Saccharomyces cerevisiae S288C: one gene and its partners. The gene in region 1 interacts genetically with each later gene. Each region holds a gene or a part of one and is shown on either strand. Other genes may lie near its edges. The genes, in order: YGR127W, USV1 and YCL049C.

Evidence for each region.
Region 2: mutations in YGR127W (region 1) and USV1 together harm fitness more than expected from each alone (negative genetic interaction), as found in Saccharomyces cerevisiae (one large-scale study listed by BioGRID).
Region 3: mutations in YGR127W (region 1) and YCL049C together harm fitness more than expected from each alone (negative genetic interaction), as found in Saccharomyces cerevisiae (one large-scale study listed by BioGRID).

The regions. Positions count from the first base shown.
Region 1 is NC_001139.9:745,018-748,313, forward strand, and holds YGR127W (uncharacterized protein), read left to right. Parts: upstream 1-1,780; coding exon 1,781-2,719; downstream 2,720-3,296. Other genes in the region: VSB1 (Vsb1p), read left to right, coding at 1-418; YGR126W (uncharacterized protein), read left to right, coding at 818-1,510; UTP8 (Utp8p), read right to left, coding at 2,933-3,296.
Region 2 is NC_001148.4:113,278-116,996, forward strand, and holds USV1 (Usv1p), read left to right. Parts: upstream 1-2,034; coding exon 2,035-3,210; downstream 3,211-3,719. Other genes in the region: trifunctional fatty acid synthase subunit FAS2, read left to right, coding at 1-1,038. UniProt on the Saccharomyces cerevisiae protein: Transcription factor that participates in the transcriptional activation of glucose-repressed genes during exponential growth in non-fermentable carbon conditions. Also involved in salt-stress response.
Region 3 is NC_001135.5:39,173-42,613, reverse strand, and holds YCL049C (uncharacterized protein), read left to right. Parts: upstream 1-1,889; coding exon 1,890-2,828; downstream 2,829-3,441. Other genes in the region: SPS22 (Sps22p), read right to left, coding at 1-449; YCL048W-A (uncharacterized protein), read right to left, coding at 887-1,126.

The DNA of each region.
Region 1 (3,296 bases):
TGAAGTTCAAAAAGTAAGAGAAAAGGAAATCAAGTTTTGGGCACAACTCTGCCCCTACTTCACCAGGCGCAGATTAGCAAGTCAATCACATTTACTACATGCAGACAACATTTTTTTCCTTGTGGAAACAGGTATGTTGAAGGCAACATATGAACTACCACAAGGAACCTTGTACGAGATTTTTTCAAATGGCACATGCTTCGGAAAAATCATTGCGCCAGGGAATGCTATGCCTAGAGAACAAAAGCTCACCATCGAAACTGAAACTGATTCCGTATTATGGGTTATAGACTCTAGCTCGTTGAACAAATTGAAAGAAGACAATCTAGCATTGTACGTGGAGGTTGCATTAATGGTCATGTGTATCAAGGACACCAGATTCAAAGAATTACTAGGTTACACACTTGTTAGCGCATGAGAGCGTACACGTATATTTATTTAATTTCTTTTATTGCCGGCGTATTGCAAGTAATTTACACCAGTACTAAATAAAAGCAGGATGCTCCTGCATCTGTATAAGTGATGCCGTTGTAGGATTTTTACCATCTCGACTATAAACTTTTTGTACTTGAGTCTTCACTTCCGGAATTTTACTGCGCGATTTTCTTTGATAGGGCCCCTATCGTAGACGAAAAGTGATAATTCCCATCGATGAGCAACTACATACCTCACTTGACTTAATTGCTCTCCTAAAGAAAAAAAATACCGTTACTTTTTTCATTAATATACTACCACAACAATTCACAACGGGTAGTTGTACGGTTAGTTTATATCCGCATTAACAAATCAAAGTCATAACAACGTATCAACGTAGACTATGCCTGTCCCATCTGTTACTGTCACTACCGATAATGAATATGAAGACATATCGTCCTTTTCTTCTATTGACTCTTACAAACCGGAGCCCTTTACTGGGTTCAAAGATTCTGAAGCTCCAGAACAGCCTCTTTTAAAAAACGATACCATTGTTGGAAAGGGGCAACTGGAAGATGATAGTAATGTAGATGATCAACACCGTCATTCAGATGTGCATTCTCATCACAGTTCTAGTACTTTAAAAAGGCCAACTTCAAATTCGATAGAAAAGATGGTTACCCACAATGCTTTAGAGGGCAACTCAGAAACAGTTGATTCCTTAAAAGAAGATGGTTTAAATTTGAACAAGAAAGCTCTTCCGGATATTACCGCCCCAGTAACAAACTCAGCTCACGATGCTGCATTTCCAGAAGAGTATCGTTTAGAAACTGAAACCGGGTTGGTCAAATTGAAGACGCTTGAAAGTTTGAAGAGGGAGGACTCTCGCGTATCCTCAACTAAAAAAGAGCATATTAACGACCATACAGATATGCATTCGACACGATCCAAGGTTACTACAAATTCTCAAGGTTCTTCTCTAGAACCAAACAAGTTGAACATGGCAGTAGAGAAGAATAAGAAGAGGATCGAAAAATATCAAAAACATAAATCAGAAAAGGGGATCAAGGGGTTTTTTCATAGAATTTTCGATTAAGTGGCATAGCAACATTTAGTTCGCAATGCGTTTACTTCAGAATCATTCTTTTTTTTTTTTTTTTTTTTTTTTTGCCTCACATTATATTCTTGGCATCTGCCTAGCTTTCGACTTTTTCGTTCAATTCCTAAAGCGCTAAAAAAATAGTCTCCCCCTGAAAGTGGAGTAGGATAGTAGTATATGAAGTGAGGCAGAAAAGGAAAGAAACGCTTGCATTTATTAACACACCTGTGGCTAAAGTATTAAAAACCAAAAACTAACGAACAAATAATGTGCATTTTAATGGCCACAAGGGCACATCCTGACTATGAACTCATCTTAATATCTAACAGAGACGAATTCTTGGCAAGAAAAACACATGCTACATGCTGGCATAACAATGATTTTATCCTTTCACCCTACGATCTGGCCAAAACCTCAGCAGAAAAACAAATATTTGGCACTTGGTCTGGCATAAATAAAGAAGGAAAATTAGCCACTATTCTTAATTTAAAACTTGACAATGAGCAAAATAATACGAAATCAAGATCCCGTGGTCTGTTACCATTTATATTTTTGTCGATCCATAAAGCAGATTTTGAAGATTGGGATAATTACAAAAAGTTTGAAGGTCACTATGATGGGTTGAAGTCCACAGGTGATTTTAATTTTTTTTACGGCGACGTTATCAAAAAGCAATATAAAGTTATTGATTCTCTAGGAAGAACTTTTGATGTGTTGAGTTCTACCTGTAGGAAAGATCTTGATTCTTACATGGTTGTTTCTAATGGTAAATTTTATGACAGCTCCAGTATACCAGGGCAGGCTTGGGAAAAAGTAAAGGTAGCACGTGATAGTTTAGAAAATCTAGTTTTAGAGAATATTGAATCAGATGAGGAGAAAATAATATCAAGTTGCTTTCAACTCGCCTCGAAGTCTTCCCTTCCAAGCACTATTTCAAACCCAGATGTCTTGCAGATGGTAGATCCAAATGTAACCATGAATACCATATACGTACCACCTTTACGGAGGCCTCCCAGGGATGACTTAGGTGCCTCAATTCCTGATGGTGATTACTACGGAACTCGCTCTCAAATAGTTTTACTCGTGAGTAAGGATTCAACGAGAGTTACCTTTATAGAAAGGGTCCTTTATAGCTCAGATGAAGACGTGCGCAAGTATTCGGTAACCTCACCTAAGGAGGAAAAAAGGTTTAAATTCAAATTGTAAAAATCACAATCTTCCATTTTATTTCAAACTAGCTTTAAATTCCATCTTCTTCCCCTCAGAACATTCCGGTATCTCTTGTTGGACACATCTAATGTATATGATGTTTTCAAATTCTAAATGCCTGTTAGTTTATCAGTAACCACAGTAGACGCTATATATATTAGTTCCTTTTCTATATAGGTATTATACAATACAATCAAATTCATTGCATACTCAAATGTCCAAGTATTCCATGGTGTAAGTGGGTAAGGCTCGCTTCTGAGAAGTTCCGTTATCAAAGGTTGAGCTAGCAAACCCATGCTGAAAACCTTTCGTATCAATCAAATTCCACAATTCGGTATTTCTTTCAGCAATCTCAACTTGTTTGTCAATATATAAGGTTAAGTTCTCCAATAGAGCACCTTCTAATGAAAATAGCCCGATAGAATCTAGCACAAGGGACAAGAGTTGAAATAGCTGCGTGCTTTGGCTAGGGTTGAAGCATTCTGGTGAGCTGTCTTCACCACCGCTTGTTATGAACTCAATGAAATTTTGAACGTCTAATTTACTTAGTTTCTTCATTTCTTGTTTAATAGAG
Region 2 (3,719 bases), on another chromosome or scaffold:
GGTACATCCACAAAGGCTAATGACAAGAACGAATCTGCCACAATTAATGAAATGATGAAGCATTTGGGTAGATCTGAAGGTAATCCCGTCATTGGTGTTTTCCAAAAGTTCTTGACTGGTCATCCAAAGGGTGCTGCTGGTGCATGGATGATGAATGGTGCTTTGCAAATTCTAAACAGTGGTATTATTCCAGGTAACCGTAACGCTGATAACGTGGATAAGATCTTGGAGCAATTTGAATACGTCTTGTACCCATCCAAGACTTTAAAGACCGACGGTGTCAGAGCCGTGTCCATCACTTCTTTCGGTTTTGGTCAAAAGGGTGGTCAAGCTATTGTGGTTCATCCAGACTACTTATACGGTGCTATCACTGAAGACAGATACAACGAGTATGTCGCCAAGGTTAGTGCCAGAGAGAAAAGTGCCTACAAATTCTTCCATAATGGTATGATCTACAACAAGTTGTTCGTAAGTAAAGAGCATGCTCCATACACTGATGAATTGGAAGAGGATGTTTACTTGGACCCATTAGCCCGTGTATCTAAGGATAAGAAATCAGGCTCCTTGACTTTCAACTCTAAAAACATCCAAAGCAAGGACAGTTACATCAATGCTAACACCATTGAAACTGCCAAGATGATTGAAAACATGACCAAGGAGAAAGTCTCTAACGGTGGCGTCGGTGTAGATGTTGAATTAATCACTAGCATCAACGTTGAAAATGATACTTTTATCGAGCGCAATTTCACCCCGCAAGAAATAGAGTACTGCAGCGCGCAGCCTAGTGTGCAAAGCTCTTTCGCTGGGACATGGTCCGCCAAAGAGGCTGTTTTCAAGTCCTTAGGCGTCAAGTCCTTAGGCGGTGGTGCTGCATTGAAAGACATCGAAATCGTACGCGTTAACAAAAACGCTCCAGCCGTTGAACTGCACGGTAACGCCAAAAAGGCTGCCGAAGAAGCTGGTGTTACCGATGTGAAGGTATCTATTTCTCACGATGACCTCCAAGCTGTCGCGGTCGCCGTTTCTACTAAGAAATAGAGAGAGCACTACGTAGTCCCTCTTTTAATATGTAACGTGTCGCTTCTATTTATCAGACATAATAGTAATTACTTTGTTATTTTTCTATCGTTTCCTTACTTTAGCCTCTGATTTCGATCTGGCCTAATCATTGTGTACGTCTATAATCATATGGCCCTGAGCGTACACACCGTTCAATTCTTCTATTTGGTCGGCCCACACAAATTCGCGCGGGGGCATATTGACGCGTGGAAGAATAGAAGTCCGCGTAGCAGCTCTGGGGTAATTAGGCTTTTACGATATCGGCTGGCCCAGCACCGGTTTTTATTCCTCCCGTGGTTGTTGTCTCTACCGTGAGGAGGGGAAAGGGTCAGGGACGGCCGGTAGTTATGTTGTCTCAACGATTACTGCCATCTATTGTTTACACCAATCGCGTGGGGCAAGGGGCTGGAAGGCTGTGGTGTACAGAATAGGGTCTAATACCCGATGCGCGACGCTCCTGCGACTGGTTGTGTGAGCCACCCCTTGATCGCCTCTGCCAAATACTCAGGGAAGAGAAAAATCGCGAAGGTGGACGAGTGCCCTTAAAGAACCAGCATCCTCGATCGCCGCTGCCGTTCGCCCTGGCTTAGCGGTGGGAAGCATCCTTTGGCTTTCGAATTCTCCGCCGTTGAGTCCCCCTAAGGGCCTTATTTATCCCCTCTATTTTTTTTTAGAAAATGTTTTCTTTTTCAAGATTTGTTTGCTCCTTCACGGCTTCCCCCTTAACCGTTCAACAGTCTTCCGTATATAACAATCTCAATCCACTCTTATTGCCTATAATTTTGATTAATTCTTATTCATCCCGGCAGATAAAGTTTCGTCTTGTTTTGAAAGAGACAGGAGTTCTTGGCTGCAGTATTTTGCAACAGCTTCATTAACCATGTATGTAAAGAAAAAATCTGGAGCGACTTACTGGCTTAGCTTTTTTTACTAACACATAAATAATACTGTGATAAGATAAGAAAAAAACACGAAATGGAAAATACCACGAATCGTAATACTGCAGGCGTTCTTACGAGCAGCAATGGTAACTTTGCCACCAATAGTGTAGCGGCATCAACTCCGAAGAGGTCCAAAAGTGCTCGAAGGAAAACGTTCAAATGCACCGGATATGACGGTTGTACGATGTCCTTCACTAGAGCGGAACATCTTGCACGTCATATAAGAAAGCACACTGGTGAAAAGCCGTTCCAGTGTCCTGCATGTTTGAAATTCTTCAGTAGAGTTGATAATTTGAAACAGCATCGGGAATCGGTCCATGCACATAAAAACCACCATTCTACCAGCTCGCACCAGCGTAAGCCTTCCTCTTCATCTTTATCCTCCTCTTCTTCTGCATCTTCTTCGTCTTCTGCTTCATCATCTACATCATATAGTGATCCTTACAGGAAAACTAATATTAATAGCGGGAACATGCCGATGATGGCAGAAAACGAAAAAGCGCCCCAAATAATACATTCTTCGCCGGAGTTCATTACTAGCACGAGAAGCATCCCACCCATCTCTCCAAGGTCCATTTATAATACCCAACGACAGCAACAACACCAACAACAACAGCATCAACAGGCTCCCTATTATTTTCCTTCCCATCCAATCACTGATAGTTACTACCAGTATCCTCTTCCCAGTAATAATAACACCATCAATTATTTACCATCAGTAGATGTGCAGTATCCTTTGAATGTGAGCCCCTCCTCAACGAGCCATCCGGCCTCTGAGGTAATCATATCGTCCTTTCCTCCGAGGTCCATGCCAAGTACTTCCTTCAAATATAAAGATTCTGCCGACTTTCAAGCACGGACAACTATGAACAAATACAATATTAGACCAAGCAATATCAATGTCAATACTAGTAATATCAATAACCATCTTGATTCATTCTCCCCGCCGTTTTCTCCGTCAACGACAGTTGCTGAAGCAAAACCAATTATTTTACCACAGTATCAGCAGGCATTTAGCCAACCACCAAATGGAAATAAAAACAATAATATGTCTTCCTCGAAGAATGGCGGCAAAGGGGGAGAAAATTTCAAGAATACTGATGATCGCAATGATAATAATAACAAAAAGAGGTCGGAAACTTTATCAGAGTCTGATATTTCGGTCAACACCAATAAGAAAAGGCTTAGTGTTGATTACATATTGACTTGATCGAGGCAATCTGATCTAAGTTTCAAATATTCCGTAGAGTATAAATATCTTACAACTAATATAATTCTTAATATGCGCAAACAAATTATGGTGCGCATCTTTTTTTATTTTTATGTTTTGTTCCATACTAAATGCAGTTTATAAAATTTTTCAAATGAGTCAAGCTATGTATAATCAGTGCTACAAAAATGATAAGATGCAATTGCAAGAAAAAATCCCTTGCATAAAGGGCTTTCTGACCTCTTGCGTTGATCAACGAGAAATAACCGCAAAACTTAATTTTAAACTCCCGCGTCTGCTTTACACAGCCCACAGTAGCATCAAAAACTACGATGTAACACTAACGGTGGATTGTGAATACGGAACGAACAATCCTGCATCTTGACTTCAAAACTTGATCATATACACCTATACCGCCATGGTTATCTCGCCCTTACGCTCACCCGGACCCCCGTTAATTGCAATAATAAGAAAAAGAAAAGAAAGAAGCTTTTTATCTCATTTCACTG
Region 3 (3,441 bases), on another chromosome or scaffold:
AGTCCCTGTAATTGGAAGAGCCCTTCGATTTTATTCAAGTTCCCGGCTTGGATTCTGATCAGTTCAGGTGAATCCTGAATAATCAGGTCACCACCAATGGCCCTCAAGCTGTTCAAATCCAAAATGTTAGAATCATAGTTTGTGACTTTTAATGACCCCAAGATGAATTCACATTGGTTTTGTAAATGAAAAAGATCATGAGACGATTCAATGACGTGCAAATCTTTTTTACACAACTCTGATATCGGTGAGTTTGTGTTCAGACTCTTGACATCTATTTCAAAAAACGGTTCATTTGCTCTTCTTTGAAGTTCGAGATTACCGTTATGAAAAGGCTTCACATTATGTGGTCGCCTTGGCGGATCAATAGCGGCACCCAATGCATGTGTCACAAATAATGATGCAAATATAATCGCGAATAAACAACTTTTCCTAGTAATACGGTTCATAAGTCGATCAAGTAATGAAAAAATGGCTTTTGGTTTTCCTTGTTGTATTTCAGATGAGATATCTTACCAACAGAACAAGTTTCTCTATTGTATGTCACAAAAGGATATAGCTTCTCCAAAATCTTTCTTTTTTATATTTTTTTTTTTTTTTTTTTTTTTGAATTAGTGACGCATCTTCTGTACAGTAAAGAGAGAAAAAAAGGGTATAATAAAACAGTTAAGCTATACTATAGTAGCGCATACACACAACGTATATACATCTAGTATTAAATATTAGTAATTATTAAATAACGAAAAAATAAATTATGGTTGAAATAGAATCAAACGTAAAGAACAAAGAAAAAGCTTAATGGAACGAAAGTTAAAAAGCTCCCCAATTTTGAACAACGGTTATGGAATTAGAAAGAAAGAAAAAAATAAAGGAAATAAAAATGTTCCTAGAATAAGAAGGCAACACCGGCAGCGATTGCTGCTCCAAAGGCACCCGCCGCCATGGTATTAACTACGGCTTCGCCAATCGAAACTGTCGTAGTCACCGAAGCGGTAGGAAGAGTAGTATTTGGCTGCGTAGCATTTGGCTGCGTAGCATTTGGAGTAGTGGCGTTAGGTTCAATGCCAACTTGGGCGTTGATAGCAGTGACTGTAGCTAGAACAGCGACAATGTTTTTGATTTGCATTATTTAACGGAAGTATAAGGTTTGAAAAGGGAGCTTTAATTGTTTTAGCCGTTATCGATTTAGCGGTGAGAATGAAATAAAGAAAAGAGGAAGAAAAGACATTACATACAAATTTTTTTCAACTTAAATGGAGGTTATGTACTTTCTTATATAGATGCTAATCTTTTTTTTTCATCTCATCACAGATTTACGTCGTCAATCTACTAACTTCCCTTATCTTCCCTAAAGGGTATCTTACGTTTCCCCTTAGGGAAAATGAGTTTTGTCCCACCTTCCCTTTGGGAAAAGGCAATGTAAATCTTAGAGGCAAGAACCACACTTGTTGATAAGATCAGCTGCGTAACAGTGCGCTAGGCAAAGGGATGGAATAAGATAAATCCCTTGTTATCCCTTTGCTTTTAGTCTTATGTTGGGGAAGTCCACAAGTTATTGTTACATAAAGGAGGAGAAGAAAACTAGGGGAATATTTATAACACTCGCATTAGCTGATCGTAGGAAAGCAACACAAAACATATGCATCAGCTGGCCCTGTTTGTCTTGCTCATCGATTGATTTTGCAAGCAAAGCTGGGATACCCGAATGTGTATGGTTTTCCTTTTTTTGGTATTTTTCTCCTATAAACGAGCTTTTTTTCGTCTTGCATTCAGATTTAAATAGCTGCTTCTAAATATATACTTTACGCAAGAGGGTCCGGTCCCAATAGGAACCAAGCTATTGCAATTCCAGGGTTCAAGAGAGAAAAATCTGTAATCACTTCGAACCAATGTTTAGTAAATACCTCGTAACTGCATCTTCCCTCTTTGTGGCTTTGACCTCTGCAGCATCTACCGTTGATCTAGATGCTCTGCTTCTTCTACCAGGGGTCGAGTCCCACGACGGCGTTGATACTGTATTTTCGACCAAAGACTTTTATCAAGTGTCATTCGTCAAATCCATTGCTCCTGCTATCGTAAACAGCTCCGTAATCTTCCACGATGTTTCTCGTGGTGTGGCTATGGGCAATGTCAAGAGCAGAGCAAGTATCTTCAACCCAGAGGAAACGTATTACGATTGGGAACAGTACCAAGTAGTAAATAACGGAGACTGGCGAACCGAATGGGCACCTGCCTCTGACTGCATTTGGAGGGAGGAGAAGGATAACAGCGACGAAACACCGGACAGATTCCCCATCTCGGTGCCATATAATTGGACGTCACAGTACTCAATTGTAGATTATGACACAGACGCTAACGAAGACAATTTAGATTTCAGGTTTATTAAATCATTGCTAGATAAGAAAAATTGGTTGAAAAAAATTAACCAGACTGTTTCCCAATCCAGTATTATGGTAGCACCAATGATTAGGCCATACAATGTGGTCCAGCTTTGGTATTCAAAAGATATGGTTTGGGCAAACGTCCAAAGACAATATTGTAGCGGTGTTTATCCAGGAGGGACTCAATGTAGCGCTTGGTCCAGGTACTACCATGTTGATGCACCCACCTGCGATGAGCCTGTCGCCTCTTACATGACCAAAATGTTGGAAAATGAGGTTCAGTGTCCCAATGAGAGAAACGCAACTACCCTAGAGCCTCTCCGCCTGAATAAGCAGGGAGACTCTGATTTTTCTTTGACTTTCGAGGAAGAGGAAGAGGAAGAGACAGGATCTAAATCTCTTTGGAGTACATTGAAAAAAATTTTCTCTAAAAGAAGTATAAGTTGATCTTAGTTGGTAGCACTTTGATGAGGTCTCTAGCAAAAAGTCTACAAACAAATTCTTGAAAGTGTTTGATTGTATATCGATATATCAGAAACATACATATGATTTTTATCTTGTGAATATTCATCAAACTCCGTTTTTAGCCCCCGTGTAAGTTACTTTAATGAGTATTTGATCCTTTTTTTTATTGTGTTGGTTTTTATATGTTTTGTTATGTATTGTTTATTTTCCCTTTAATTTTAGGATATGAAAACAAGAATTTATCAAAGAAAAAAATCTTAGCTTTAAGAACTACAAAGTAAATAAAAAATAATAAATCACACCGGACAGTACATGAAACTGGACATATTTGAGGAATTTCTTTTGAAGAGTTGAGCATTCAAACTGGCCGGTCTTGCTGTGGCCTCAATCCACTTGAGCTCCAAAGAAGGCTCTGAAATGCTTATTTTTTTCAAGCGATACAAAGTAAACAGTTACATACCTGAATGATACTACCACAACTATTTACATTATCGTCCTGTCAAAAGGCGAATAATCAGAACTGTTTGTTAACATGTCATTTTATAAGAGCGGCCTGAAATACTGTCATAAGTGGTCTGTCGAAAGTAGTTATTAC